Macaca fascicularis: one gene and its partners. The protein of the gene in region 4 purifies or fractionates together with the protein of the main gene of each other region. This does not show direct contact. Links are inferred from orthologs where the notes say so. Each region holds a gene or a part of one and is shown on either strand. Other genes may lie near its edges.

Evidence for each region.
Region 1: the proteins of HNRNPA2B1 (region 4) and HNRNPH3 fractionate together in Homo sapiens (co-fractionation; 3 studies listed by BioGRID and IntAct, with this or other methods). This does not show direct contact. The link is inferred for Macaca fascicularis from reciprocal best matches to the Homo sapiens genes HNRNPA2B1 and HNRNPH3.
Region 2: the proteins of HNRNPA2B1 (region 4) and DHX9 purify together in Homo sapiens (affinity purification with mass spectrometry; 4 studies listed by BioGRID and IntAct, with this or other methods). This does not show direct contact. The link is inferred for Macaca fascicularis from reciprocal best matches to the Homo sapiens genes HNRNPA2B1 and DHX9.
Region 3: the proteins of HNRNPA2B1 (region 4) and HNRNPH1 purify together in Homo sapiens (affinity purification with mass spectrometry; 5 studies listed by BioGRID and IntAct, with this or other methods). This does not show direct contact. The link is inferred for Macaca fascicularis from reciprocal best matches to the Homo sapiens genes HNRNPA2B1 and HNRNPH1.

Annotation. Positions count from the first base shown.
Region 1 is NC_088383.1:78,231,909-78,239,870, reverse strand, and holds the start of HNRNPH3 (heterogeneous nuclear ribonucleoprotein H3), read left to right. Parts: upstream 1-3,483; 5' UTR 3,484-3,655; exon of another isoform or gene 3,656-4,523; intron 4,524-7,962. Other genes in the region: PBLD (phenazine biosynthesis-like domain-containing protein), read right to left, coding at 2,849-2,975.
Region 2 is NC_088375.1:40,373,838-40,381,256, reverse strand, and holds part of DHX9 (ATP-dependent RNA helicase A), read right to left. Parts: intron 5,057-7,419; 5' UTR 5,035-5,056; coding exon 4,924-5,034; intron 4,365-4,923; coding exon 4,224-4,364; intron 1-4,223. UniProt on the Homo sapiens protein: Multifunctional ATP-dependent nucleic acid helicase that unwinds DNA and RNA in a 3' to 5' direction and that plays important roles in many processes, such as DNA replication, transcriptional activation, post-transcriptional RNA regulation, mRNA translation and RNA-mediated gene silencing.
Region 3 is NC_088380.1:186,458,213-186,465,631, forward strand, and holds the end of HNRNPH1 (heterogeneous nuclear ribonucleoprotein H), read right to left. Parts: intron 6,726-7,419; coding exon 6,587-6,725; intron 5,639-6,586; coding exon 5,460-5,638; intron 5,376-5,459; coding exon 5,304-5,375; intron 5,248-5,303; coding exon 5,114-5,247; intron 4,962-5,113; coding exon 4,826-4,961; intron 4,420-4,825; coding exon 4,360-4,419; coding exon of another isoform or gene 4,330-4,359; intron 4,268-4,329; coding exon 4,178-4,267; intron 3,542-4,177; coding exon 3,449-3,541; intron 2,993-3,448; coding exon of another isoform or gene 2,943-2,992; intron 2,352-2,942; coding exon 2,233-2,351; 3' UTR 1,557-2,232; downstream 1-1,556. UniProt on the Homo sapiens protein: This protein is a component of the heterogeneous nuclear ribonucleoprotein (hnRNP) complexes which provide the substrate for the processing events that pre-mRNAs undergo before becoming functional, translatable mRNAs in the cytoplasm.
Region 4 is NC_088377.1:104,102,479-104,110,644, reverse strand, and holds the start of HNRNPA2B1 (heterogeneous nuclear ribonucleoproteins A2/B1), read right to left. Parts: upstream 4,206-8,166; 5' UTR 4,037-4,205; coding exon 4,031-4,036; intron 1,290-4,030; coding exon 1,254-1,289; intron 1,156-1,253; coding exon 1,045-1,155; intron 884-1,044; coding exon 737-883; intron 443-736; coding exon 232-442; intron 88-231; coding exon 1-87. Other genes in the region: CBX3 (chromobox protein homolog 3), read left to right, coding at 6,475-6,498. UniProt on the Homo sapiens protein: Heterogeneous nuclear ribonucleoprotein (hnRNP) that associates with nascent pre-mRNAs, packaging them into hnRNP particles.

The DNA of each region.
Region 1 (7,962 bases), on a different chromosome or scaffold from region 4:
GTGTAACACATGATCACGTGTTCGTTGTCTTGTTTTCCTCTGGGTCGCATGGGTACTTCTATTTCCTTTTCCTTTTTCATCTTTTCTCTCATTATGGTCTCTAACAAGATCCTCTCCAGGGTCCCTCTGATCTCTGTGCTAACAGGAAAGCACTGGAATGATGGAAAGGAAGACAAAGAAAGTCCCAAAAGCAGCTGGGAGTCCTTGGTTCTAACCATCTCTATGGAAACAATCCCACAGAGATAGGTCTGGAAACAATTCTGTAGGGATCACTGGAGCAGTGGTGAGCCAGTCTCACCAAGCCTTATTTACAGGATACAACTTGCAAATGGGAATAGTTGACAAGATTTTGTTGTTGTTGTTGTTGTTTTAAGAGAAGTAGTAAAGTAGGAAGCCAAATAAAATGTACATTTATGCCTATGTAGCATTTTGTTTTTTGTTTTGAGACGGAGACTCGTTCTGTCACCCAGGCTGGAGTGCAGTGGCACGATCTCGGCTCACTGCAATCTCTGCCCCACCAGGTTCAAGCAATTCTTGTGCCTCAGTCTCCCAAGTAGCTGAGATTATAGGCATGTGCCACCATGCCCAGCTAATTTTTGTAGTTTTAGTAGAGACAGTTTCACTATGTTGGTCAGGTTGGTCTCAAACTCCTGACCTCACGTGATCCACCTGCCTCAGCCTCCCAAAGTGCTGGGATTACAGGCATGAGCCACCACACCCAGCCTATATAGTGTATTTTTTAACTCAAAACTTCCTACTGTAACAATAAAAAGGCAAAGGGAATGTGTAAACCAATTTCAAGTCCTTACTGAGCATGCACATTGGCAAAGAGTGCGTAATCCAAAGAAATTATGGCAAGCAAGCAAGCAAGCAGCAGTTTGGTAGTGAAAAATCATTCATGTCATTAGAATGATTTTCAGATTGTGACCCATAACCACACAAAATATGCGGCAGGAATGCCAAATTCAGTCAGGCAGTAAAACAAATTGAATTCAAGCAAGGAGTGAAGGAGATTACAGAATTCCATCTACCAAATCAGTTTGAAAGACCGAAAGGATAAAAATAGCCATGTAACTTGAACCTAGGAGGACCAAGGGAAGAACTCCATCAGAATTGTGGGAGCTTAGAGTCTTATTAATACAGCAATTATTTTTTTAAAAGGAGGGAGAGGGGTTGGGACTCACAGTGTCAGTGATAATGGGACTATAAAGTTTCAGGCCTGTTCAAAAAGTCTCCAGCCAATAAGCTAGTAACCACAGGTCTCCTGAAATGGTAACTCCAGTGTTAATTAGGTGACATAACCTCAATTTTCCAAAAACGATGTCTGTTTCCTTAAGTTATAGATATTTGTAACCTCACGAAGGTTCATAGTGTTTTAAGACCCTGGCCCTTGGGTAAAACCATATGGGCTCCAATTCTAGCTCTACCACTCAACTGTGTGACCTTGGGCAACTATTTTCACTTCTCTAGGACTTAGGCACTTCATCTATAAAATGAAGATACTTATTTTTCAGGGTTGTAAGAGTACAGTGTGTAGGTTATGCTACACACTATACTCAATTTGCTGACTCTTTACAACCCTGAAAAATAAATATGAGCCATTGTTATCACAGCATCCTTGTTTGGTTTTCCATCTCTTTTAATTGTGATAACACTGTCCTTTCTGCCTTCCACTCAGTACTTTTAGGGAGTGGGCCATTGTGGGTATGTGAGCACCATGTTCTTACTGCCCCACACTCGTCTTAGGCAGGTTTGAGGATGAATTAAAGCCTTAAAATGTCTTACATCCTACACACCGCAGATCTCATGGGAGAAAAAATTATACATCCTCCTACGTTGCTAACACCTCCCACCCTACCTCCAACAGACTTCCCAATGTCTGTACCACAAAGTTCAAAGTCTTTTGGCCAGACATTGAAGACTATCTACAATCTAGCTTCACCCACATTTCTAACATTATGCCATCTTCCTGACGCCTTGCACTGGAACTTGCACTGATTTTTTGTGTGTGTGGGAGGGTGTGGGACGGAGTCTCGCTCGGTCACCAAGGCTGGAGTGCAGTGGTGCGATCTCGGCTCACTACAAGCTCCACCTCCTGGGTCCACTCCATTCTCCTGCCTCAGCCTCCTGAGTAGCTGAGACTACAGGGGCAAGCCACCTACGCTCGGCTTTTTTTTTTTTTTTTTTTTTTTTTAGTAGAGATAGGATTTCACCGTGTTAGCCAGGATGAACTTGCACTGATCTCTTTCCCAGGCTTCCCCTTAACTCTTCGCGCAGAAATTCGGGTTTTTTTTTGTTGTTGTTGTTTTTGACACAAGGTCGCCCAGGCTGGAGCGCACTGGTGCAATCACGACTCACTGCAGCCTCAACCTCCAGGGCACAAACCATCCTCTTGCCCAGCCTCCCGAGTAGCTGGGACTACTCGGGAGTCCCATCTACTCCCGTGCGCTGCCATCACGCCCAGCTAATCTTTGTATTTTTTGTAAAGACAGCGCCTCACTATGTTGCCCAGGCTGGTCTCCAACCCTTAGGCTCAGGCGATCCTCCCGCCTCGGCCTCTCAAAGGCGTGAGCCACCGCGGCCGGCCTTTTTTGGAACTTAAAAAAAAGGCCATAATGTGTCATTAAGAACCTTAGTGGCATGACTGCAAAACCAAAATGTACTTATTAGGTGTCACTTGGAAGCGCAATTTTCAACAACGCAAAACTATAGAAAACAACCCAACGTCGGCCTCCACAGGCTAATCAGTCCCCGAGGCACTGACGGCGGGAGAGATGAAAATGCGAAGGCCAGAGGAGAAAGAGAGGAAGGATTTGCAGAGAGAACGGAAACGTGTACAGGAATTCACCCAAGAAACCCGGGTCCCGCGCGGCGCACCGGGACGAACCGCGCTGGGGGACGGCCAGCAGCTCCGGGCCAGAAGGAGGCGGACACCCAGCCCGAGAGCCGAAATCGGCCTCGGTGGACGTTTTCATCTTCGCGGCCCAGAAACACTTCTATTTTTCATTGCACAATGCAAACATGGTGGACCAGAAAATCCGCCCCGCGTCTGCCGGCCGAACCACGTGGCGCCCTTTCCGCGCCGTCGATGCCGAGCAAGGGCGGGGCCCTCACGGAATTTGTTCACGGTGGGGGCAGATCACTGGAGAACTTCTCCAGACCGCGACAGCACAGTTCCTTCTACACACTGGCAGAACTTTCATTGCCATCGCCCCGAGGCGGCAGAATGGTATGCCCCGAAAACTGGATGGTTCTACCGTAAGCAAGAAAGACTGCACACACGACAGCTCTTTACCTGGACCAGCCTCTGCTCTGTCTATCTCGCCCCCAACAGCTGGGCAGCCCACCACCGCGCAGGCGCGCTTCGTGCTGCCAGCGCCAGGCGAACCTGACTTTCCCGTCTCGCGAGAGTGGGGCCGGCCGCCTTCGCAGTTCTCGCTCCGCCCCCCACTTCTTGCTCGCTCCCTCCCATCCCCCCAAGCCAGTTGCTGTGCTGCGCAGCTCCCTAAGCGGTTGTCACCGCTGGAGACGGTTGAGAGAACCGTTGTGGTGAGCGCTACACGAGGCAAACAACTTCTCCCTTCTCTCGACTGGACCCCGCGAGCAGCAGAGTCGGCGTAACTATCGCCTGACAGGGTATCTGAAGTAAAAGGGGGTAGGTTGGGCTGGTGGTTTCGAGAGCGGAGTCGGGAGAAGGACGAAAGAGGCCGGGAGGGGCTGGGTTGGGGGTTAGTGCGGTGGTCGCCGCTCGGAGGCCGCCGCTTGGAAGCGGCGGGGTTGCGCCTCCCGGACCATCTCCCACTTCAAGGAGGGCAGCCTGCCGATGGGAGGACTTGCTCAGGTGGAACTCAGTGGACGACGCCGAGGCCCGAAGTAGGGGACATCCAGCATTTCCCCCTTTCCCTGCTGGCTTGGCCTCCGCCATTTTGGGTACAGTGGCGCGGCCACCTCGGCTTCCCGCCCTTCCCCGCTCTTTTTACTTTTTGTCTCCCAGCTTCCGAAAACTGATTCAGAAGGCCAGGGGAGGGGGTGGTCAAAGCTCCCTGGAAGGGATGAGGGTGGGTAGTGAAGCGAGCAGGGAAAGACCGGGCAGTTGGGTGGAGGGAGGATCGGGGTTGCCGGGCGCGCTCCCGATGGAAATGGCGCCGGATGGGCCTGGCCTCCCACCGTGGCCTCCCTTCCTCCGCAGTCTCGGCAGGGCTACCTGGGCTGACGGGACTGCGAGTGACTTCTGACGCAGATTCCCAAGATGAGAGAGGCTGGAGCTGGGGGAGGAAAGCCAATGGCGACGAAGGTGCTCAACTCTCAAATCCAGGACAAAGGAGGCAGACGGCCTCCTTTGTAATTCCGCCGCCCGGTGGCGAAGGGTTTTAAGCCAGGCTTGGCTGCTGGGGGGTGGGGGAAGGGGCGTACTCTCCCTAGCTCTCTGGTCTCTAGGGCAGCTAGATAAACGGAAAGTCTCCTGGGAGGAATAAAGGACGCTTAGCCGGCCCTTATATTCCAGATTTGGAACTTCGAAAAGAGTACGTACTGATTTTCCAAAGGGGTTTTTTTTTTTTTTCATGTTTAAACGTTAATAAGGACTTCGGGGGTGATTTTGTAAGCAGAAAAGTGGGTGATTTATCAAATAGGAATGTGAAATGGGCATGTTTCAAGTAGGTCGTCTGGGCCCAGTGAACTGTGATTGTTGCTTTTTGAACTTTGGGGGTGGGGGTGGGTGATGTAGCAATTGTTTTGCGTAGTTTGGCATCTATATTAGACTTTGTTTTTAAGTTTCACTTTTGGGAAACAGTTAAAACAACCCAGTGATGGTAGATGTGTATGTATGGGAATTGAGTTCCTTTCGATATTAAATCTTCCAAGAGTTGTATTTTGTGCAGTTTTTTTTTTCTTGGCATTAAGGCTCTAGAAGTAAAATACTTCAAAATACGGTTATGGCTTATTTTCTTTTGGTGTCTAGGCCTTTTTTTTTTTTTAAATGTAGGAGTATAATACACTGTAATCGTATTTTAAACAAGGGAATAAGCCTATTAAACAGAAAAATTGTAAACCCAGTCACGTGGTGGTGGTGTGATTCGGATGAGGGTCCTGAGAACTGGATCCGTAATTTTCATTGAAGACACAGTGCAAAAGGGACGGGAAAGGCCTGAGAGTAAGAATTTCTGATAATTCATGTAAAACTTTTTAAGAATATTGTTACCTACTTTTCCAGCTCTAAAAACAAAAACTTACTATTGTTGAAGATGTTCAGTGATGCTTTGTCAAGATTGCCAAGGAAAAGTTTACGAAAATCTTACCTTGAAACAGTAGCTTTGAGTGGCCCTTTGAAAAGATAGTCCAGACTGTCCTATAAAGTTATATATGCTGTAACAAATAGCTTTACTAATTGGATTGGACTACACACACACACCTTTTTTCTGTCCTCTTTTTCAGTTGTGCCATTATCTGGAAGTCCATCTTACTGTCTTTTTAAAATAATGTTATCTTTGATTTCGTTGTATTGGTAAACAACTGACTAAATTGCAGTAGATAAAAACATGGTTCATAGTAAACTAACATTTTAGAGACCGTACCTCCTTAAGCTGTTAGGGGCGTGTCTAGTGTTTTTGTTTTTTTAAAGAGCAAGCCCATTGGGAAGGAATGATGTACATTTTCTGTTAAACTTAGATCATCAGCACTTTTTCCAAAAAATAAAATTCATTCTCATTTCTTGACCACTGGGCTGCCATTTAGAAAGTTATTTATTGATGCATAAAGTCGTTTATGCATTACTTCAGAAGATAAGCTGTGCCTCCGTGTTAAGAGGATTCTCTATTTCATTTGTTCTCTAATGGATGTTTTTTCTTTAATGACTTCGGTATATAATTCACATACCATAAACTTCACCAATTTTAAATGTACATTTTAGTGGATTTTAGTACATTGACAGCGTTGTGTGACCGTCACTACAATTTAATTTTATAACATTTTTGTCACTCCAAAAAGATACCAATACCCTTTACTGGTCATTCCCCTTGCTGGCATTCTCCCTCCCGTCAAGCCTCAGACAATCATGAATACAAATAGAGTTACACAATATGTAGTCTTTTGTGACTGGCTTGTTTCACTTGGTGTAATGTTTAAAAAATTATATTTAAAGTTTCATAAAACTGACCAAAGCCATCCTCATATTTTAACTGTGGTATATTTTATTGTTACTAGCACCTAGAATTCTTAAAGCAGAGTAGTGATTAGCCATGACATTGTTGCAAAGAAAGGTTGAGGTGGATTATCCTGAATAATTAGTAAAGTGTTTTAAGTAGTTTCTGACAGCTTTATTAGAGCAGATTGCTTCTTCCTGTGCCCTTAGAGTTTTTCTTGTTTTTGTTTTGTAGGTAGGATTTTTAGTTTTGAAGGGGTTGGTAGAGTGAGGCTCTCATTATTGTATGTGCTTTGCATACAGGGTCACCCTGTAAAATAGATTAAGTGTTCCGAATTTGAATTTGGTTGGGTTTTACGCAATTAAAAGTTGTGTTAACAGTTTAGTGTTTATTATAGATAACATCGATAACACTTTTTTGTTTTCATTGGGTCTTATAATTGGTACAGACCGATCCAAAAATCCAATTGGCTTGCTGGTATTTTTTTCTTGTGAATTGGTAAGATTTATGAGTAAAGTAATTTTTTCTTTTTTTCTTTTTTTTTTTTTTTAAGCATTTGCTCCTTAAATGCAAACTACTAAGATCCTTTCACAACAGATTAAGGTTGAATTTGCAGAGTTCTTAAATTTTTCATGAATCAGTTAGGGTAGATCTGTACCACTTTTTCCGTTATGTGTAAATCACCCTTTATGGGAAACACTTATTTTTTAGGTTTGTGCTATTTAAAAAAAATAAAACGCTAGGCGTTTTCAAAACATCTCTGAACTTTTTTTTTTCAAACTGGGTTGGGGCCTCCTCCTCTCAGAGCTACTCTTCAGTATTAAACTTTTAAAAGCCTTCGCTGGCTTTGGGAAATAAAATTTTTAGCAATTCTCAGTTCTCTTCGAGGTTTGAATTGTTTTCTGTCCTTTAAGGTTCACATATTTCGTGTATGGTATATCTTGTTGGCTTTTGCAGGGCCCCTTAAAATCCAGTAACAGTTGCCATCAGTAAATGCTTAACATGAGGCAGACCAAGCACTTGAAGAGTGCAGTGAGGTATAGATACCACTGCTATAGTTTACAATTGAAGAGGCTCAGAGGTTAAGTGGTTTAGGTAACCAGTGAACGGCAGAATAGGGATTCATACTATTTATTTGTGTGCATATTTTAAATGCATGAATTCTAGGAAAAAAAAACTTTACCCTTTGCAGATGCCACCCCTAAGAGTTGCACCAACAAATAGATGACATGAAATTAAGCATTAGTGAATGCTGTTGATACGAAATATGATCTTCAAAAATAAAGGAATCAAATGAACAAATTGTTTTGTTTACAGGGGAGGAGGTGGTGAGGGAAAGGTTTGAAATACTCAGGTGAGTAGGATTCCTACAGCTGCATAGTGAAATTTGTAAGGTTCTGGTAAGTTTCTGCAGCTGAAGGACTTCTGCATTCGCCTCTTTTGTAAATACTATGTAATTTTAAACGGAAGGATGGTTGCCTCTGGGGAAGGGAACTGGGAACTGAAGTCATTTAGGAGGGGAAGGGGGGCTTCTAGATGTACCTTTTATGCTTTATTAAAAAGTATATTATGTATTTTTTAAAGTTTGTGTTTAAATCTATTTGATTAAAAAGCTGAGTAAACTGGTTTCTATACACTGTCCAGTGGCTTCAAAAACACAGGTACTGTTGGAAGGCATTCACTTTTGAGCAGCCTTTGACCTCAGTTTTAATCTAATTCAGTCATTTTATAATCTTACTCTTGGTGAGTTTAAACTAGATTTGGCTAAAATAGAGGTGAGAGTGTTGGCCCTTCAAAGACAGTTTGATGTGTTCAAAATTGT
Region 2 (7,419 bases), on a different chromosome or scaffold from region 4:
AAGAAATCCATATTTATATTACAAACATACACTTATAATGAATGAAAAGATAAGCCACCAGAGAAATAAAACATATAAAAAAAGAACAAGCTGGAGATTTTTAAAAGTGAAAATGGTAGTGTCTGAAATACATTGGATGGGCTTAGCAAAATGGAAGGGACAGAAAAAAAACAATCACAGAATCTGAAGATAATCAATAAAAATTATTCAATTTGAAGAAGAGTGGAAAAAATGATACGAAAGAAAAAAGAAAGAGAGCCTCAGGGAGCTGTGGGGGATATCAAAAGTCTTAAATATAAACCCCAAGAGGAAAGAAGAAAAAATAAAACAAAAAATATCTTAAATAATAGCCAAGTCTCTCAAATTTGGTGGAATACATATATCTATGGATTCAAGAATCTCAACAAACCTTGAACAAGTTAAGCACGCACATACAAAAAAAACTCATGCCCAGTCACAACATAAGTCAAACTACTAAAAACCAAAAATAACAGGAAAAGATATTAAAAACAGAGACCACCACATTACATATAGGAGAGAATGATTCGATTTTAGCTGACTTCTTACAGAAAACAGGAAGTAGACAATGTCATATTATCTTTAAAGCATATCTGGTCTCTGGCCAGGCGCAGTGGCTCACGCCTGTAATCCCAGCATTCTGGGAGGCTGAGGCAGGCAGATAACCTGAGATTGGGAGTTGGAGACCAGCCTGACCAAGACGGAGAAACCCCATCACTATTAAAAATACAAAATTAGCCGGGCATGGTGGCGCATGCCTGTAATCCCAGATACTCCTGCCTGAGGTAGGAGAATTGCTTGAACTCAGAGGCAAAGGTGGCGGTGAGCCAAAATCATGCCATTGCACTCCAGCCTGGGCAGCAAGAGTGAAACTCCATCTCAAAAAAAAAAAAAAAAAAAAAGGTATTTGGTCTTCAATCCCCTTTCCCTGGCATAGAACTCCTAAATCCTTATAATCTCCTAAGTGGAGACTTTTTGCATGCTAATGAGTTGACTGCCAGCAGGCAGGCCCTAGGTAGCTTCGGTGTGAGGGATGGTCACTGGAAAGACCAAGAAAAGATTAGAGGGCTAGAACTTTCAGTTCCACCTACCAACCTCCGGTGAGGGGAGAAGGGCTGAAGGTCAAGTCACCATTGGCAAACGATTTAATCAATACTGAATAATGAAGTTTCCATAAAAACCAAAGGACAGGATTTGGAGGGCTTCCAAATAGCAGAATACATGGAGGTTCCTGAAGAATGGTGTTCGAGGCAGGGCATGGGAGCTCCCTGTCACCTCCTCCATATCTTGCCCTATGTATCTCTTCAACTGTATTTTGTAGTATCCTTTATAATAAACTGGTTTATTTATAATTTATAAATGCAGGTTTTCCTGAGTTCTGTAAGCCACACTAGCAAATTAACTGACCCCAAAGAGGCAGTCATGAAAACCATAACTTGAAGCTAGTTAGGCAGAAGTTCTAGAGGCCCAGACTTGCAGGTGGTGTCTGAAGGGACTGGAGTCTTGTGGGACTGAGCCTTCACCCTGTGGGATCTGACGCTATCTCCAGGTAGTGTCAGAGGTGAACTGGAGGAGACCCAGCTACTGTCTGCTGCAGAACTGATTGCTGGCTTGGTGTGTGTGGAAAAAGCCTCCCACCCCTGCCCCTCATTTAGTCACAGAAATCTTCTGTGTTGATTATTGGGGTATGAGAGAAGAAGAAAAACTTTTTTTTTCCCCACTTACATACTAAAAGGGGGAAAAAGTCTGGCACCCTAGAATTCTATATCCGGTGAAAGTATTCTTAAAGAAGGTAAAATAACAGTATTTTCAGAAAAGAAAATAAAGAGAATTTGTCACCAGCAGATCTACAAGACTATAGAGAAGAGCGTAAAAGATAAAGAATGAATAGAGACTTCAAGGACTTCAAACATGTAAAACTGTTTTCTCAACCAGAAGGCATTTTCAAGATCATCTTGCCCAATCCCTTCATTTTACAGAGAGGCAAACCAATGAAATTAAAGACTGTAAGATATTATAATTATCCAGCAGTTAATCTACCAAAAAGTAAGTCTATCGTTAGGCAAAGGAATGGAAGAAAATAAGATTTCTTTTTCTTTTTTATTTTGAGACGGAGTCTCGCTCTGTCGCCCAGGCTGGAGTGCAGTGGCGCGATCTGGGCTCACTGCAAGCACCGTGTCCCAGGTTCACGCCATTCTCCTGCTTCCGTCTCCCGAGTAGCTGGGACTACAGGTGCCCGCCACCTCGCCCGGCTAGTTTTTTGTATTTTTTTTAGTAGAGACGGGGTTTCACTGTGTTAGCCAGGATGGTCATGATCTCCTGACCTCGTGATCCGCCCTTGGCCTCCCAAAGTGCTGGAATTACAGGCTTGAGCCACCACGCCCGGCAAAGATTTCTTTTATAACAAGTCAGTATACAAAAATTCAGTAACAGGACCCTGTTAAAACTGGCATAGACAGGCCGGGTGTGGTGGCTCACGCCTGTAATCCCAGCACTTTGGGAGGCTGAAGGGGGCGGATTACTTAAGGTCAGGAGTTCAAGACAAGCCTGGCCAGCATGGTGAAAATCTATCTCTACTAAAAATACAAAAATTAGCTGGGCGTAGGAAGGGCGTGGTGGTTCATGCCTATAATCCCAGCACTTTGGGAGGCCAAGGTCAGGAGTTTGAGACCAGCCTGGCCAAAATGGTAAAACCCCGACTCTACTAAAAATATAAAATTAGCTGGGCATGTTGGCAGGTATCTGTTATCCCAGCGACTTGGGAGGCTGAGGCAGGAGAATCGCTTGAACCCGGGAGGCAGAGATTGCAGTGAGTCGAGATTCCACCACTGCACTCCAGCTTAGGGAACAAGAGCAAGACTTTGTCTCAAAAAAAAAAAAAAAAAAAAAAAAAATAATAATAATAATAAGCTGGGTGTGGTGACTCACACCTGTTAATCCCAGCTACTCAGGAGACTGAGGCAGAATAATTGCTTGAACACGGAAGGTGGAGGTTGCGGTGAGCCCAGATTGTGCCACTGCATTCCACCCTAGGTAACAGAGCGAGACTCCATCTTAAAAAAATAAAAGAAAAAGAAATAAAGCTTATTTCTCAAAAACTAGTAAAGCCTAGTGTAGCGGCACATATGCACAGTCCCAGCTACTGGGGTAGAGCTGAGGTGGGAGGATGGCTTGAGGCCAAGAGTTTGACGGAGCCTATGAATAGTCACTGCACTCCAGCCTCAAAAACAAAAAAGGCAGAAAAACAAAACAAAATCCCCAAAAAACAACCTACTAGACAGAGGTATCTCTTGCATACTTACATACTTAAAATAATCATGATATAAAAAACACAAAAATACTCTATTGCATAAAATACTATTTTGTTATATAAGGATATGTCAGCCAGGTGCAGTGGCTCATGCCTGTGATCCCAGCACTTTGGAAGACCGAAGCGGGTGGATGGATCACTGGAGGTCAGGAGTTCAAGACCAGCCTGGCCAACATGGTGAGACCCCATCTCTACTAAAAATACAAAAAATAGGGGGGCACCATGGAGCATGCCTGTAATCCCAGCTACTTGGAGGCTGAGGCAGGAGAGAATCGCTTGAACCCAGAAGGTGGAGGTTGCAGTGAGCCAAGATCACTCCAGCCTGGGCAACAGAGCAAGACTGCCTCAAAAAACAAACAACTTGCCAGAAGTGATGGCATGAACCTGTAGTCCAGCTACTAAGAGGGGTAAGGATGAAGGATTGCTTGAGCCCAAGAATTTGAGGCTGCAGTGAGCTATGGTTGTCACTGCATTCTAGCCTGGGTGACAGAGCAAGGACTCATTGCTTACCTGGGGTGGGGGGTGGAGGGAGTGTCAATGGGAGCAAACATGTCTAAAATATTACTGATTTTTCTATTTAAAGTATTATCACTGGAAATGAATGGAACATAACAGACTCTGAAATTTCTGGTGTATGAATACATGAAACAAATAAAACCATAAGACATAAAGATTAATGGAATTTCTCAAGCCCCTAAGACAGGTACATAATAAGGATGCAATCCACATCTTCAGAAATTTTGTCCAGTCCTGAGAGAAAACAAGATACCAAATTTCGTTAAGAAACACGATATATACGTAAACAGTGAAAAATTATTATCCTGAGTCTCTTACGCATATTGACTTTGTACAACTTTACAACACGCATCTCAACTGCTTGGCCATAGGTACTTACCCCAAAAGCTGGAACTTCTTCACTCTTTATTTCATTTATTCGAACCAAATAGTTAACAAAGTCTCTGGCAGCATTACTTTGTGCATCTTTTTTATTGGTGGAATTTCCCATGCCAGTGTAATTATAGCCTTCCACCTGAACCTTAAAAAAAAAGAAACAAAAAACAAAACAGCTAACTTTAGGAAATATACTCTAGAAATACACTGAAAATAATACACCTAAGAGAATTCATGAGCTACTGAAAGAAAAAGCTTGAATTGTGTTGTATAGTGATAACACAAAAACAATGTTAAGAGGTTCAGCTATTTTTTTCTCATATAACAGAAGGTTCACATTACAATCTGATTCTGTAATATGCACGAACAAGCTCTTCAGTTGTATTTAAGCACTTTGATTTGAAGCAATCAAGAATTGCTCTGCTTTCTAAAGGTGCTTGTAAAACTGCAAACAGTTGATCCAACTTTTCCCATCCCGACTACTGGTGCTGAGGAAGATATAGGCTCTAATTAGAATAATTTACCTGTCAGATTGCTTTAAAAGCAATCCTGACTTGAAAATGATTTAGAACAGGAGTCAAGTCACAATAATAAACTGTTGTTTCCTAATGTGCAACACATTAACATCTCCAAACAGAAAACATTCTTTTAACCCCAAAATGAACCTCATAAATCACATAAATGCAAACTGTATTCTTTAGTACCTCACACATGAATTTCTGCCTGTTTTTGTTCCCCACCGCTCTAATTTCATAGGACGGGGTCATCTTCCTTTTGCCACACCAGGCATACAGAAAATTTTTAACGTCACCCATGATTCAAGTGTCTTCTTCAGATCTAAGAAAACAAAAGTCAGTTAAAAACACAATTTATAATAGCAAAAACTGGGAGGAACCAATTATCTGGATCACTGAATCTAGGTTAAACATAGGATATTCTATCATGTTGCTAAGACTTCCCACATATAAATTTTAATGACATAATTGAAACTTTTACATGTTGTAAGAAAAAGGATACAAAACGGTATGATTTGAACTACATGAAAAATACATACACATGAGCAAGACTGGAAAGAAATACCCCCTAAAATGGTTATCTTTGGGGACTAAGAGTGATTTTTATCTTTTGTTACAAAGTATTTTATATAAGGCCCTACATTCTACAACGGGCACCTTATTATTTAACTCAGTTCATCCTCACAACAACGGCACACAGATATGGTGGGTACTATCATTGTCTTTTCAGGAAGCTTCCCTCCTAAACTTCCTTCCTTCCTAAACTAAGACTTAGAAAGTTAAGTAACTTCCAAGTCACCCACAGTGGAGGCCTAAATTCAAATTCAAACAACTATATATTAAGAAACAGCTATCATTTGCATATAAACTCAATGTTTTATTCTCATTCTGATTATGACCATTAGCACACTGTTTCCAAAGTTGTGGTCATGTATTAATAATATAATAAAGTTCAAATACATTAAGCACTCAGTACTGAAGACAGTGACCTATTATTAACTTAAATGTTCTATACCAAATCTCTCCTTTAGGCTTTATTATTTATTAAAATTTGAGGATACTAAAGTTTTCTTGAAATGCAGCAATCAGTCTTGGCACTCCCTCTCTGTCTCAGTCTATAAAATACCAGAAGATATGGAGCCTATCAGTCTAAATGCTGAGTCTAAACTGTAAGGAAGATATCTGAGACCACATTTATAACCAGAGAAAATAAAATGTGCTATGAATTTAGTTTGCTGTGAAACGAATCCTATTACCAGCATTAAACCGTCTGCTTCACGTTTCACGTTTGATGCATTTTGTTAGCACCTACGTCTAATGCATCAAACTGTACCCTGGCATAAATTTGTTACGTTTGAGTGGTCACAGTCTAACTCTGGTCATCCATGTGGCGAAGGGAATGTTCTATTAACAAAAAAGCCGTGGAAAGCTGAAGATGTTTATCTGGAAATTCCACCTCGTGAATAATTAAACAACAAGCCCTCATGGTGAATGAGTAATATGAAGGATTATACTATCAAACTCCTGTCTCTCTAGTCTCATACAACCCCATAATTTTCAATACCAACTACATGCTATCGATGCTCAAATATATATATTGAAGGTTTAGTCTTTTCTCTCTTTTTTTTTCTTTTTTTGAGACAGAGTCTCATTCAGTCGCAGACTGTAGTGGCGAGATCTCGGCTCACTGCAACCTCCGCCTCCAGGGTTCAAGCGATTCTCCTGCCTCAGCCTCCCCAGTAGCCGGGACTACAGGCGCCCGCCACCACGACCAGCTAATTTTTTATATTTTTAGTATACACGGGGTTTCACCGTGTTAGCCGGGGTTGTCTGGATCTCCTAACCTCTTGATCCGCCCGCCTCAGCCTCCCAAAGTGCTGGGATTACAGGCGTTAGCCACAGCTCCCGGCCCGTCGTTTCTCTTTAAAGTCCAAAATCAAATGCATCCAACTGTGGCACTAACTCACCCATCTGCATGCTATCTTGGCATCTCAGTCAAAACAGAATTTTAAATTTCCCCTCAAATCTGTTCCAACACCCTACCCTACATTTCGGTTTCCATAAACGGCACAACATCCACCAAGTTACTCCTGGCACAAGTTGAGAGTCGTCCACTCCCTGAAGATTCTCCATAGTTATCCTTTGTAGAACCCTTACTGTGTGTCAAACAATATCCATAATAGATCATCTAAATGGAACTATTTTACTTAATCCTTAGTAATCTTGTATAGGTAAGACCACTATCCCTTTAGAGAAGGAAACTGAGACAAAGAATATCTTGCCTCAGAAAGACAGAGCTACTAATTAGAAGAACAATAATTCGGGCAGGCGCTGTGGCTCACGCCTGGAATCCTAACACTTTGGGAGGCCAAGGCAGTCGGATCACGAGGTCAAGATACCGAGATCATCCTGGCCAACATGATGAAACCCCGTTTCTACTAAAAATACAAAAATTAGCTGGGCGTGGTGGCGCGCGCCTGTAGTCCCAGCTACTGAGGGAGGCTGAGGCAGGAGAATCACTTGAACCCGGGAGACGGAGGTTGCAGTGGGCCGCGATCGCGCCACTGCACTCCAGCCTGGCGACAGAGAGAGACTCCGTCCAAAAAAAAAAAAAAAAAAAAATCAAGAATTTCAGAAAACGTAGCCTGACTCCAGATCTACTACCTTCCACCACTGCGCATTTCT
Region 3 (7,419 bases), on a different chromosome or scaffold from region 4:
GGGATGAGTAGCTGCCGGGCCCTCAGCATCTACTGAAGGAACTCTGGGACCAGACTTTTCAGGACTGCTTTTCTAATACCCAACCTTGTATTATTAATGTGAATAGACTCTCCCTTAGATACCTAACCTTGTTTTAATATGAATAGACTCTCCCTTAGCTGAGAAAGCCGGACGGACTCCATTTGGCTCCTTCATTTACAAGACATCAAGGGCTCCTCACCCACCCGCTTCCTCAAGGACTTAACTTGTGCAAGCTCTCGGCATATCAGAGTGCAATTAACCAATAAGGTGCTGAGGCAAGCAGTTCCCAGCAATTTACTCGGAGATGGTACCATAAAGCCCCATTTGTCCCATAGGTAACGCCAGAGCCCCCACGCCTATCACCTTGTGATGAATTTAAAGCCCCTGCACCTGGAACTGTTTTCCTGTAACCGTTTGTCTTTTCAACTTTTTTGTGTTTTTCTTCTGTTAAGATTGCTGCAGCTAGAATCCCCCTCCCCTCTCTAAACAAAGTATTAAAGAAAATCTAGCCCCTTCTTTGGAGAGAATTTCGTGCCTTAGCGGTCTCTCGTTCACCGGCTAACAAAGGACTCCTGAATTCATCTCAAAGTGTGGCGTTTCTAACTCGCTCAGGTACACTTTAAAGCAGCTTGAATACTTCCTAGCATCATGTTGGAGCTCTGAACTACCAAAACGGGGATATATTTAGAGTTCATTTAAACTAGTCACATTAGCTCTCAATCACTATCACTCTACCCAGATTTACATGTAATTCTGCTTCCAAGTAGAATTGATTTTTAGGAATGAGCCAAAAATGTGAAAGTTCAAAACCTCAATTTGAAAAACCATCTGTGAAGGCTGGGAACAGTGGCTCAAGCCTATAATCCCAGTACTTTGGGAGGCTGAGGTGGGCAGATCACATGAGGTCAGGAGTTGGAGATCAGACTGGCCAACATTGTGAAACCCCGTTGTCTACTAAAAATACAAAAAAATTAGCCTGGAGTGGCGGCGGCACCTGTAACCCCAGCTACTTGGGAAGCTGAGGCAGGAGAATGGCTTCAGCCCGCAAGGTGGAGGCTGCAGGTGAGCCAAGATCACGCCACTGCAATCCAGCCTGAGACGGCTAAAACTGCGCCTCAAAAAAAAAAACAAAAACAAAAACCCACCACCCCTGAGCTAGAAGAAACCCACGTATTCATCATAACCTCCCTTGCCTCCAGCACCTTCCCAGCCAAGCATGAAGGCCTCATAGACATGCAGGCCATGCAGTGAGGGCACTGGCACCTCCCCCTTCGCTCTGTGCAAGTGCTTAACAAGTTATAGGCAAGTTCAGATCAGGTCCTGTGCAGCCAAATGACATACAGCCCTTCCACAAGGGCCCCAAAGACGAGTTTACCTTCAGTTGCACTGGAGGGAAGTCTGAAGACATCTACACAACAGCCTCAACTGCCAAGCCTCTCTGCCACAGCCAGAGATGTGGCCCTAGATGTGTACCCAGGTGGGCACAGAGCACCGAGACTCAGTCCACATGACACTGAAGCACAGACAAGACAGAGTGCAGTTTTTAAAAGGAGGATTTATTTGACAAGTTTCACTTAGCGCAATATACCTAAAAGGAAATCACAATACAATGAAAGATTTAAATCAAGGCCTCAGAATTTCATACAAACACCAAGACCAAAATCCTAAAGTACTGGTATTGCGTCTCAAAATTTTCCCATTAACTTAAAAAAAAAAAAAAAAAGAAAAAAAGCTTAAACTTACGTGCCTTACAGGTTATTAAATGAAACTAGAATTAACGAACATGCCAAAATGTTTCACTTTTAATTGTAGACATAGCTCCTATATTGAGTTTTACAAAAAAATAAAAGCATGTCTTTCAACATGCATCCAAACAGTGTTCAATGTAACGTGGCAAAGGGCAACATTTAACATAATTCAACTGCTTTTACCTAAATACGCTTACTGCTTAAGTACATCCTATAACTAACTTGAGAAAAGCTGGAACTTAAGTTTAACAGTTATAGTTTACTCAGCTTCACTTTTACATCCTAGATTGAGTATTGTATTCAAAAATACTGGGCCTTAAGTCTTCATAACAATCCTGATTTCCACTTAGAGTAAGCATAAATCACAAGCTTGTATTGCAGAAACTGTTAAACTGAAGTTTTTTTTTCTTAAAAAAAAAAAAAAAAAAAAGTTGACCAAGAGTCAGTGATCAGGACAGATCAATTACATTCCCCATCCACCACTCATACTGGACATGCTAGACATCCCTCCCATTCCGTTCACGCCCATAGATGCACGGCTTCCACTACTGTAGTAGCTGCTGTTCATTGCTCCTTGGTTACCTGCAAAGAGATCAATTTGACAAGTTAGGAGTAATGTCAGACTACCAGTCAAATAAAATATAGTATTCCAAGAAAAAGTTTAAAAAGTATACGAGTACAAATGGCTGCTGTCCAAGTGGCGAGACGCATGTTTGGGAAAGGGGAATCCCGACTCCAAACAAGCCTCAATTAACCCCTTTTCTCTGCAGTACCAACTTGCCAGACTCTTGTGCTACCATTTTAACGGATTCTTCAGGATCAACATGAAAAATTAAGTTTAAAGGAAAACTAGTGTTTTTCAAAAATTGCAAAATTACTTCGTATTTTTAAAGCTAAACAAGGCATTTTTTAAAAAAATTTACCATAAACATTCACAATGTGTCCCTCGAATGGCATTTGAGAAAAGGGAGCACAGGGGAAGTCTCTTGCTTTTCCTATTCACGGTGGGCAGGAAGTGAGACAACCAAGGTGGACTAAAGGCAACTCACTGTGCCCAAATGGCAGCCTCCATGGAGTTAAGTCAGAGCCATTGACTGCTATAGAAAGTATTATTACAACATATCAGTATTTGCTATTGGGAATTTAAATTATATTTTTTGAGAAAATATTTACCTATGCAATGTTTGATTGAAAATCACTGGAGTTTTCCTGTAAAACTTGGTCTGCAAAAGGATTTTGTAGGGTAAGACTATAATACCAAAATCACCATTCTTTAGACCAATTGAAAAAAAATAAATAAAACCAATCCTAGGTTAACTAATAAATACGGTCCTGAACCCAACCACCATTCTACTATTCCAAATTCTCCCTCCATCTAAAATTGATGTACTGCTAACCAAAAGACAAAAAAGCGAACAACTTTATTTAATGTTTTAATAAATGGAGGCAGATATTTTCTGGCTCGACAGTATTCCAAAGTTGCAATGACTAGTTTTTTATTCACAGAACACTTCCCCCTCCCAATGATTGTTTCTGAAAATTAAGCTAGTAAAAAGTTACATTTGGATTGAAAGCATACATTTAATAACCCAATTTCACCAAAAAGGAGCCTGCACCTTCCCAACTAAAGAAACCTGCCTAAAACTTAATTCTAAGTATATTTAAAAAAACAGGCTTACCATATCCACTCATGCTGCTCTGGCCACCATAGCCGCCTCCGTAACCTCCACTCAGCTGCTGGCTGGCTGGGCCACCGTAACTGGACTGGTTTGCTGTTAAGTTAAGAAAACTTTAGAACCTTGTTCCTTACATAATGTGGTACCTGGTGGTACCGGGATTGTAATTCTATATCTATATTTTCCAGTCTTGATCTTATATTACTATAACCCTCTGCCTCCTTCTGCCTACTGTCTATAACCGGGCTACCCTTCTATCCATCATCTGAGCTACTCAAATATTTATAAACCGAAGTGCTAACGGTATATACATCAGCAGGACTAAAACCCACAAGATTCCCTAAGTAGAGGCATTTTGTGAAGATCTTATGAAACTGCCTGACTAGATTTAGTGGGGTTCCCCCTTAGATATATCAAAGGCACGTCAATACACCTAATTATGCCCACATTTATCTTAATCCTATTTTGCTATTTAAACTTTATACTCAGAAAATTTAAGTAGTTTCACTCCGTAGTCCCCTCCCCCAAGAGTACTTAAATCTAATTTGAATTATCTATCCTAAGGAACTTCATAACAAAGATTTAAGTAAGCCAGATACAAAATTCAAATATCAAGAAACTGCTTTCTTTGCCTAAGTTTGTTATGCTAAACTTATTAAATAGATTAACAACTTATAATTGACTTATACATATATAAACGTTTTGGTTTTTAAAAAAACTAACGATATTTACACAAGCCCATGCCTCCCATCATTTGGCTACCATAAGCACCACCGCTTGCTCCTGCTGTAGAATTCAAGAAGAGTTCTACATATCTGTGTTCTGAAATGAGAGAAAAGGCATACAAGGTTAGCTTAAAAAAAAGACACTAAAGTGATATTTACACAAACCCATGCCTCCTAGCATTTGGCTACCGTAAGCACCACCGCTTGCTCCTGCTGTAGAATTCAAGAAGAGTTCTACATATCTGTGTTCTGAAATGAGAAAAAAAAAGTTTGAAAATGTTTGTTGGTGAAACACAACAGGATAAGCACTTTTATAAAGTTTTTAAACAAGCAGATCTGTGAACTTCAAATACCTTGGCAAAGAAAATTCTAGCTACTTCTCTTAGGTGATCTACTTTAACTCCAATATCTAGCCTTTACATATTCATCTATGTTGTCAATTAAGGATATAAACTTCAAGATGTGCGTATCACAAATCCGTTAGACTAATTTTTAAAACCCAAACCTTCTTCAACCCACTGCCCCCCATCCCCCAAGAATTAATCTATTACTGGAGAGGAAACTTCTCATATATCCTTATTTTTCCATTTCCCTATTGTAAATGTTAGTCACACAATCACCTGTAAAGAGCCCACAAACGCTCAATCACACTTACGCATATTTGCTTTGTCTTTTGACATAGCTGCCACGGCATCTTCATGAGTTGCAAACTCGACATCTGCTTCACCAGTTACTCTGCCATCAGGACCAATTTCAATGTGTACTCTCACAGGATTGAGTGGTGAAAAAAACTACAACACAAGGCATTTCAAAGAATTAAATCAACTTTCTAATGTTACAAAATAAAACTACAATTTCTAACACAGTGCTCACATTTATAGAGTAAGGCTCAGACTTTTACTGCCATACTGAAATAAGACTTGTGAGTTCATCCTACACTTACATTATAAATGTCATTCTCAGTAGCTCTGTAAGGTAATCCACGCATGTGTACACAGTGTCCTGTTGTGCTCTGGAAAGTAGAGCCACCATCCCCATATCTGTGATCAGACATTCCTGAAAAACAGTAATTGAGGTCTAGATGGACAAGAGTGTAAGCATCCTTCAACTGAGAAATTCAATTCTTACCTTACCTCTTCCAAATCTATCTGACCCAAATCCATAGCCATCATTATAGCCATTGTAATCGTCATAGCCTCCATAGCCTGAAAGACAAAGTACAATCCATCAAACAAAACACCTAAACAAAGGAACAGACTACTTGCCAAACCCTGGGAATCCTCACGTACCTCCACCGTAAGCACCGCGCCTCATCCTCTCAAAGCCAGCTCCTCTGCCAATGCTGTTATACCCTCTGCCAGCCCCAGGTCTGTCATAGGGACCTGGCCGCTGCATGGCCATAAGCTTTCGTGGTGGATCATAATGAGTTCTAACTTCAGCTCTACTGCTCTTAAAGATCTCAATATACCTAAAGCATCGTTCATAAGGAAGGGGTAGGGAGGGGAGAGACAACATTAGTTCATTTTATACAGGTATTTAGTTACACAAGAAATACAATCTAGTCATAGCCATGAAACTGACTAATATTTAAAGCCAGATTTCTTATATTTGCATAGGCAATGACCAGAAATTCACTCAATAAATAGTAAGACAATGTAAACTTTACAGAAAAAAAACACTCACTCCTCCTGAGGCAGAGCCCAACCTTAGGGGTAGAGAGGAGTACTGTAAATAAACGTTCTAGGAGGGAAATAATTCCACTCAACTTTCAACATTTCAAGTCTTAAATCCATTGGCAGCATGTATAGCAAGTGGGCTAAAAAGCCAGCCTCCACCAACAGTCTAGCCCACACTACACATTTCCTTTCGCCAATAAATACCCCAGCCTATGCTTTTAGTAAGAATCAGCATAGGTAAGCGCATGCTTCAATGAAAAATAGTCACAAGCAAAGAGAATAAAACCTTTTGTGACAATTTCTTGAAAGCTATGCTTATTAATACTATGCAGAATATTTATATACAGCAAGAAAAAGTTTGTTGCATTTCAACTTTAAAAACAAGATCAGAAAGTATCACATTTTCTTATGGTAATATTAATTTACTCTAGGTGGGTGTTATTACAGCTAAAGCCAGGTTTGCATTAATTTTTTAAAGCCATAGTCTCTCAACTCTATTGATTGGGGTTAATAAGACTCACAAAATTGTCAAGTAGACCAATTAACTAGGGACAAATTTTAAACCTAAAATTTAGTTTGCGTGTAACATGGGACTGACACAAGAAAAGTTTGGAAATCATGGCAAAACATCAATTACCTAGGACTACAAAACATTAATTTCTTCTTTTAAGCAGAGAGAATATGGATTTAATTGTTTACCATAAGAAAAGTGACATATCCAACCAACCATCCATCCCCACCTGTGCCCTATTCTTTCCTTGTGTTTCTTTAGAGCCTTTTCAGCTATTTCCTGTGAAGCAAACTGCACGAAGGCCTCCCCCGTACTCCTCCCCTGGAAGTCCACCGGCAATGTTATCCCATTTGGCACGATTTCCAACCCTTCAACCCAAGGACAAATAACCCCAGTAGGGGGGCAATATTAACATCACAAGCCCAGAAATGATTCTTCTTATAGCTTTAAATAAACCAGAACTTTTAACTTTAGGTGAATGGTATGCTTTCAACAAGTACTCTTTAAATATGCATTGCAATAATATGAAGTTCCATTATTACGAAGTATAACTATTCTTAACACACCCATGGTACAGTATAAATTAAAAAAAAAAAAACTTGCTGAACGCAGGATGCATTAAGAATTCAACAACTTAAGAACACATATCTATGCAACTTAATGTTGAGAATTATACAAGAATTCAATTAAGTTTTAAGCATTAAATAACAGTTTTACTAAATTCAAAACACCTTTTACCTCATTTTATATTTCAATGCTTTAAGTTATTGGAACTTCAAGTCTTTAAAAAGGTATACATTTAAACATTTCATATAAAAACTAAAACATTAAATTATAATTGACAAACATAACAATCTAAACTTTCAACAAAACTGATCTACACAGCACAATCATGCATGCTTATGCTCTAACAGTAGTTATGATTCACTTCTGGAAATTCCGTCTATGAAAAATCCTTTCCGTGGATACATTCCCAAGCTTACAAAAAGGACTTAAAGCACTTTCCTAGAAGATATGAAATTATGTTCATATTTAACGTTGACAGATAGCATTCAATTCTCA
Region 4 (8,166 bases):
TAGAACTCTGAACTTCTTGCATTTCTTGTCTAGACAAAGCCTTTCTTACTTCTGCATTATGACCATTGATGGTATGGTATTTCTGCACTGCAATGAAAAATTCAAACTCCTTTTAAATTAAATCAACAACATTAAACAACTTTAAAAGTTTACCTTTCAATAAAATTAGATGTTAACATACACAAAATTGAATACATGGTAAGAACAGTACATTTGTGGTTAGACACTTACATACGATTTTATCCACAGGATCATGGTCATCAAAAGTAACAAAGCCAAAGCCTCTTTTCTTTCCAGACTGTCTATCAGTAATTATCTCAATGGTATCAATTTTTCCATATTCCTCAAAGTAATCTCTAAGGTGATGTTCCTCAGTATCTTCTTTAATTCCGCCAACAAACAGCTTCTTCACAGTTACATGAGCCCCTGGTTTTCCAGATTCCTAAAATATTGGTGGGGTAAAAGTCATCCCGACAGAAAAAAACACAAGCATGATTCAAAGTAGCCGACCTTTGTACCATACTTGGCTTGTATCGACCTTAAAACTACCAGATCTACAACAACAGCTTTTAGGGACCTAGCTTTTGACAAATAAGTTAGCTTCAGAAAATGGTCCAAAAACCCAACAGAGCTTTAATAAAATCTTGAGTTAAAACTAAATTCAGAGATACTTTCCGATGTTCAGCAAGGCAGCATTCTTTATGTTAATTGCACAAGACAGTCATGGTTTGCTTACCTCTCTTGCTACAGCACGTTTTGGCTCAACTACTCTCCCATCAATTGAATGAGGTCTTGCAGCCATGGCAGCATCAACCTCAGCCATGGATGAGAAAGTTACAAAACCAAATCCTCTTGATCTTTTGCTTGCAGGATCCCTCATTACCTTTCAAACCAAAGAGGAAACTTTAGCATTTAATCTCATTATAACTTATAAGTAAACAGTCATTATAATAGAATTTACTATGCTGATATAGTTACTTCCTCCATGATTCACTTAAACAGCTACGATACTAACATACAGTAACAATTCAGTAACTTACGTACCACACAGTCTGTAAGCTTTCCCCATTGTTCGTAATAGTTCCTCAAACTTTCTTCTGTGGTTTCAAAGCTTAAGCCACCAATAAAGAGCTTACGGAACTGTTCCTTTTCTCTCTGCAAAGGAAAATACCATTTCAATTTTTATTTACATTTTCCTCTTTGTATGCAGGAAATTAAATTCTTAAATATGAGGTGACCTGCTGGCAGAGTACCTTTTTCCTCTCCAAAGGAACAGTTTCTAAAGTTTTCTGGGGGGGAAAAAAAAAACTTACATCAAATTTAAACCATATGTTAAACTGCATATTAGTTGTGTTACACCAAAAAAATTGCCTCAGCTGATCTACACAAGTTTCAAAGTCATTAATGCTTGATCTAAATTTACTCAACATTAAATTATCTTAAACAAATGTATTATTACTTAATTTAAAAAATTTCTAAGGAGAAATGAACAAATGTAGACCGTGGTTATCAAAAGATTACTAAATCTTTACCAAAAATTTCAACCCTATAACCTAAAAACCCAGATTTCTATTTATAAACATCAGAAAATAACTTTTGGTTCGATGGTTATGACCCAAAGTTTTTATTTCACGATTCAGTAACATTTTCCCTTAACTGCCCCCTCTGGTGGTGATTCTAAGTATATTAGCCAAAAAAAAACTTTTTAAAATACTGTTTCTCCCTATGACTCTGACAAAAATATTTAAAATCATGATATGCATTAGCAATAACCTTAAAAATTACTTAAAACCAGGACAAATTCATTTTTATGACCAGCAGCACTCAAAGCTTAAAAGTTTTAACAGGTTTTTGGTGGACACTGTCTATACAGGATATGACAATACAGAATATGAATTACTCAGCTTAACCTTATGTACAATAAAATACATTCACCTGGCATAATCTCTAAGCTAACTATTACTGAAAGCTGAAGCTTACTGAACTTGATTGGCCATGTGGCAAGCGACACGGCACGAAACAATTTTCTAACTCAATAGGAAAAACCTCAGAGTTGAAATCTTTAATACCTGCAAACAAGCAAATATGTCGTATTATACAACCCTGTATTTTGGGCAGTTAAGAATGTTAAGTAAACCTGTCTTAAAAGGTAACTACGTTAAAAAAAAAAATTAAACGAGAGGAAGTGATATCCAGGACCAACTACTACGAATGCATAATGCACACTAAAAAGTCACAAGTAATTTTGAATGAAGAATTATTTTTTGTTCCTAGCAAGAAGAATTGCTGCTCTCAGCCCAGTTCTACAGAGCTCTCTCCCTCCATTCACATGCTCCCAACTGCTAAAAAAAAACAGTGGTAAATGCCAGTTCGGATTTTTTCCTGTAATTGTTTTCAGGACTGGTAAAAATAAAAAATAAAAAAACATTAACCGAAATGATTAAACTACTTCCTATGAGACACAACGCAGTCTTGAAATGGTTACTTGCCAAAATAGATATTTTCATTTTCTCAATTAGTTTTTTCTTAATTGTCGTCAGCACATAGGTGTCTCTAAACTGAAATTACCGATAATGTACATTTATAACAAGTCTTACAGATCACTAACAAAAAGCAAAAACTCATTACTTACCTCACAATTTTTCCAAACTTACCCGATGTCCACTATCGATTTTAAACAATGTTATTTTATAAACGTGCTTAGGGTCAAAGAAAATAACCAGGTAGACCCCCTTCGCTTGAGACCTTATGCTTATCAATGTAATGTTCAACCAAGATTGCAAACATAAATGAGAAAAGTAACAAAGTTCAAATACAGAGCGGCCCAGGCCCAAAACAATTTTGCACAAAAATACACACGCATTACAGGAAAGAGCCTCTGAAGCCATGTTTTAACCGAAGTACAACTAAGGATAAAATCGTTATTTCGCTTTCCTCGTAATTTCTAACTAATCATCTATAATGGTCCATGGAACTGTCCCGTAAGGATTAAACTTCTCAGGAAAAACATTACTTAAAATACGAGTCGGCTCTACAACTTAAGCGGAATCCTTAAGAACAGTAAAGGCTTCTGACGCGAATATCCCTCCCCCGCCCAGAAAAACCATCCTCGTCCCTGCCCCTCGTGGCCGATGGCTTCCAAAGTGTTTATTTTTGCTGCTGTTCATCTGCCGTTTTAGTGACTGCAGACCCAAATATATCCGTTACTCAAATAAATTTAAAAAACAGGAAAACTACAAAACGGTTTCTTTGTCCTATAGCTCGCATTAAACCCGGCCCGACGCCCTGGGTGGTGGTATCTTCTCTGAAACCGGGCCCGCAAACCCGGAGCACCCCCCCGCCCGCTCTTCGGTGTGGCTTCCGAACGCAATGGCGCCATTTCATCGAGGGGAAGGCTGAGCGCCTTTAATGAGGTGCGCAGGACTCTAAAGATCCAAGCTCACAAAACACTCCAAATCCACCTCGAAACGATATGAAAAGAGCCCGAGAAGAAAGAAAAATAGTTAACCACTTCTATGCCTTGACAGAGAAAGCACACTAAAAGAATAAGAGAATTAAAAGAAAAACGCTGAGAGGAAGGCGAGCCATGAAAATGGCGGCCGCCAAATCCGGTTCCCGGGAGAGAGGGGGAGGGGAAGCTCCGCAGCCTCGCTCACGGGTACCCGCTGCCCGCCGAAACACTCGCCGCGGAGACGCCGTGGCCCCCAAAGCATCGTGCTTTAAAAAGGGAATAAGAATTCCCGCCTCCGCGCCCCACTTTCACTCCAGCGGGGCAGCGTCCGCCATGTGAAAGCTCCCCATCCCCCACCCCCAGTGAAGGGAAATGGCGCCGGGAGGCCGAGGGTGGGGAAGCTTGTTTGTACGCTCAGGCCTCCGGTCAAGACCCCGTTCATAAACCTCAAGCCCCACTGCTACTGAAGCGGTCCGATTTCCTGCCGCTCTCCCACGGAGGCGGCCGGCCGACTTCCACAAGGGGGCCAACGGCCTCGCCATGCCCTTTCCAATAACTCATTGATTTCAAACCCGTTACCTCCATCGCGGACTCAGTCGCTTCAGCCCGATTTCCCGCAGCCGAGCGAGATGAGAGAGATCTCCGCGGACGAACACGAACCGGACTCGTCCTGGCGCTGTAGTGAGAACTGCCTCTCCTCGAGAAACAACACCGCTAGGAGTACCTCCGCACGGGACCCGGCGCTGCTGCTACTGCCGCTAGAGCCGCTGCCGCCGCTTTTCTAGAACCTTCCCCCCCACTAACGCGTCTTCCTCTACGTCAGGCCGTTGCGTAAACGCCCTAACCGCCGCCAATGGCGGGAAGGCTCTACGCCCCTCCTTACGCCAAATGCGTACTCCTCCCCCTCCTGTGGCCAGCGACAGTGCCCGACGTTACTTCCGTAAATGCGCTCAGTGAATTGCGGAAGGCTCGAGTCCCGCGAGTTACTACCTCTCGGAATAGGGTCCCGCCCCCGGCCTTGGCGCAAGGCAGGTGAGAAACGGTCGCGCAGTTTGAAATTAACGCCGACGGGAGGAGCTTAATCCGGAGCCCGGAGTTCCAGCCCTCTCAACCTGGGAGGTGGTCCCTGCAGCTACGCCTTTGATAACCCCCGCCAGAAAAATCGTAGTATAATATGAGCCTTCCCTTTTCGTTTTTCGTGTCCCAACTCGGCGGATTGACTCGGCCCCTTCCGGAAACACCCGAATCAACTTCTAGTCAAATTATCGTTCACGCCACACTGACCTAACCCTGACCCGCGTCTATGCAGCTGACCCCTGGGGTACAGGAGGGGTCTCTGCTGAAAGTGGTCCCAAAGGGGTACTAGTTTTTAAGCTCCCAACTCTCTCTCCCCAAGCGTTTGGAGGATTCCGCACCCTCGCACCGCAGGGGCGAGGAAGTGGGCGGAGTCCGGTTTTGGCGCCAGCACTGAGGCTGCAAAGCAGAAAAGCCACCGCTGAGGAGACTCCGGTTACCGTCCTCGCCCCTCCTCCCCCCTCCCTCCCCTTGGGGACCACCAGGCGCCACGGGGCGAACGGTAAGTGCCGCGGTCTTCGCAGCCGCCCTCCCCCTAGGGCCCCAATTCCCAGCGGGTGCGGCGCGCGGCCCCTCCCCCCCGCCGGGCGCGCGCCCGCTGCCCCGCCCTTCGTGGCCGCCCGGCGTGGGCGGTGCCACCCCTCCCCCCCCCGGCGGCCCCGCGCACAGCTCCCGGCTCCCTCACCCCTCGGATGTGGCTCGAGCTGTAGGCGCGCAAGGCCGGAGACGCTGCAGACCCGCGACCCGGAGCAGCTCAGAGGCGGTGAAGTCGGTGGTTTTCCTTCTCTCTAGCCCTCGCTCGGTGGTGGTGCATCAGATGCTGCACGCGCCCCGGGGGCCCGCTTCTCCGCTCCCCTCCCTTCCTTGCCGGACACCGCGCCGGGAGCTGCGGGAAGGAGTGGAGAGGGTCGGGCGGTGGCCTCGCGGCTGACCTGGCTCGGGGCCGGCGCCGGCAGTTAGTGGGGGGACTGTTCGGTCCTCGAGGGGGTAGGGAGCTGTGGCGACGGTCGCCCTATTTCGAGACAAAGCGCATTTTCCCTCCCCTCCCCCACCAGCGTTCCGGCGGAGGCGCCCCCTCCCCCAGCCGCCACGCGGGGCTGGGTCGAGACTTGGGCCTCCGGGAGGGCGGCGCGTGGTCCCGTGTCCGCGAGGCCTGGCGGCGCGCGGCCGACTGTCCCGAGGTTGCGGCGGCCGTCCCGTTAACGTGGCCGCCGCGGGGGGTAGGCGCGTGCCGTGTGGCGCAGTGCCCTTGAGCCCCCGCGCCGCGGCCTTTGTTTCTCCCTGCGGATGCGCTGACCACGAGGCCCGCGCTCCCGGGTGGGGGCGGGCAGCTGCGCTTAGGCCTCGGGACGCAGAGCTCCAGCGGAGAGGGTCGGAGGCGGAGGGGGAGCGGGTGTGTGCAAAAGGTGATTGCGTCTTCAAAGTGTCACGAAACGGGGTTGAAGCATCGTTAAGTTTTTTCCTTTAGTTAGTTAACTGCTGATTGGAAAAAGAGAGGGTTTCTGAGCAGAAACAAACTTAGGATTGCAGAACAGAGAAGATTCACAGGGGTTTACAGTTGTGAGTTGTTTGGGTAATCGTGCATGGTTTTAAACCGAAAGGATTGTCCTTTAAAAATGGAACATGGACTTGATTACAAATGGGATTTAGATTAGAAAAGATATTTGTCCCCTATGTTAAGCCATGTGAAGCTGCCTTAGGTACCAAGATCCCCAGTAAAGTCTTTCTAGACTCACATGTTTAGAACACGTACTTACGTGCATCATAAGCAATGTAGGTAGGAGCGCAAATCTACTCTGGATTTGTATCAACGTTTGAAATGTGCGCTCCCTACTTGGGGGTTGGAATCCAAACAGAACTTGTATTTAGTTACCTTTTTTGTGTCGTGCAAACTTCTCTTAACTGTCATGCATTTTTCTAGTAATAGTTCTTCAAGTCTGCAATAAAAAATGGCCTCCAATAAAACTACATTGGTAAGTTAATGAAAAGCTAAAGTATGTAAGGATTTAACCCAAGGTTTTTTCCCCCAAAGTATAACTTTGCATCTTTGTGGTTGAGAAATTTACATCGACATATTTCCCAGCTCTCCCAGTATAATTATAGGGGAAAATTAGGAGCAAAACGAATTCATTACATGGAGATACTTGCTGACTTGACTTAATAGCGTCTTAACTAGTTTAATCTTTGAAGGACAGTGCAATGTGGATTTTGCTGAGGATTTTTATCTTCAGATAGAAATACCCACGTTTTTGCAAAATATTACATAAAATAATAAAGCCCTTGTTGGTTGGCATAATTTTCCTTAAATCCCCAGAATTCTGGAGAAGTATTTTCATTAAAGCCAAATTTGAAGAACCAGGTACCTTGTGCACCTAGGTTGGAGCAAGTTAGTGAATCTTTCAAATGGCTTTGGTCACTTTATCTTGTTTTAACTTACTCTGAAATATAGAAGAATCTTGAATACAATTCATTGCGGTGTTTTGTTTTTTTTAAAAAAAATGATCGAAATAGCAAATACGATCCAGAAGGGAGAAAAGGCTAGATTTTTTGTATCTTCTTCAGCTATGTCATGTTACAAGTTTTTTAAAACCTTGGAATATTCACATAAAAATCATGAAATTCAAAGTTACAGTTTTCACAATATTTAACTCTCAACATATTGCATTAATCTTAAGCGCGTAAAGGTGAATGTTAATGTCTCCTAGGTAAAGTAAAGCATTTGTTTTTGGTCTGTATATGTTCTCTCTGGGTTTCACACTAGAAAGGGCACGTTGGTGATTTTTAATTTGTGCCATCATTAGATTCTATGTTAAGTCAGATACCCTGGAAAACAGAATTTGTTTTTGCATGCAATTGATACTCTTTGGGGTCTGTTATTTATTGGTATTTAAATAGTTTATTTTGTGAGGGATCACAGGTTGGCCACTTTAAAACTTTTTTTAACTTTTCATTTTAAAAATTCATTAGTGTTGTGAGATATATGTACTGTTAATTTCACTTAAATAATGGGAAATTTATTTTGACTCAAATCCACATTTGGAAAAAAGTACTGGGTTAAGCCAAACATATACTACAAAAGAAAATGGTGAGCATTTGAAACTAGCTTATGAATGCCATAGTAGTAAATACTGTATGGTATTTTGTCTGCCCCTTTTTTTTTTCTTTTTTTTAACCTTAGTATGTATCCTTTTCATTTTCTATACTTATTTTTTACTTCTTTATTTTGTTAGCCTTCTCCCTTTGTGGCAGTAGCTGTTTTGTTTTTCATGTAGTATAGGTATCTAATACACTTCTGTCTCTTCCAATTTGTTTTTGCTTCTCCCACTATTATTTCTACCTTCTTGTACTGTACAATGACAGAAATCTGTTTGGGCCCAGTACTCAAGTATCTTGACTAATGAGAATCATAAGACCTGACTTGGAAATGGTATCCGAGAAAGTCAGGTGTTTGCTGCATTTTTTTGTATTCCAGGGGAGTGTGTGTGTGTGTGTGTGTGTGTGTGTGTGTGTGTGTGTGTTACCTATATGCTTGCTTGCATAGCTTGAAATGTCATTTTGCAGTCTTGAGGCCTTTCTTACATGTGTGTCTGCGCACTTCATATGCCTGCATAGCTTGAAATGTCCTTTTGTAGCCTTGAGGT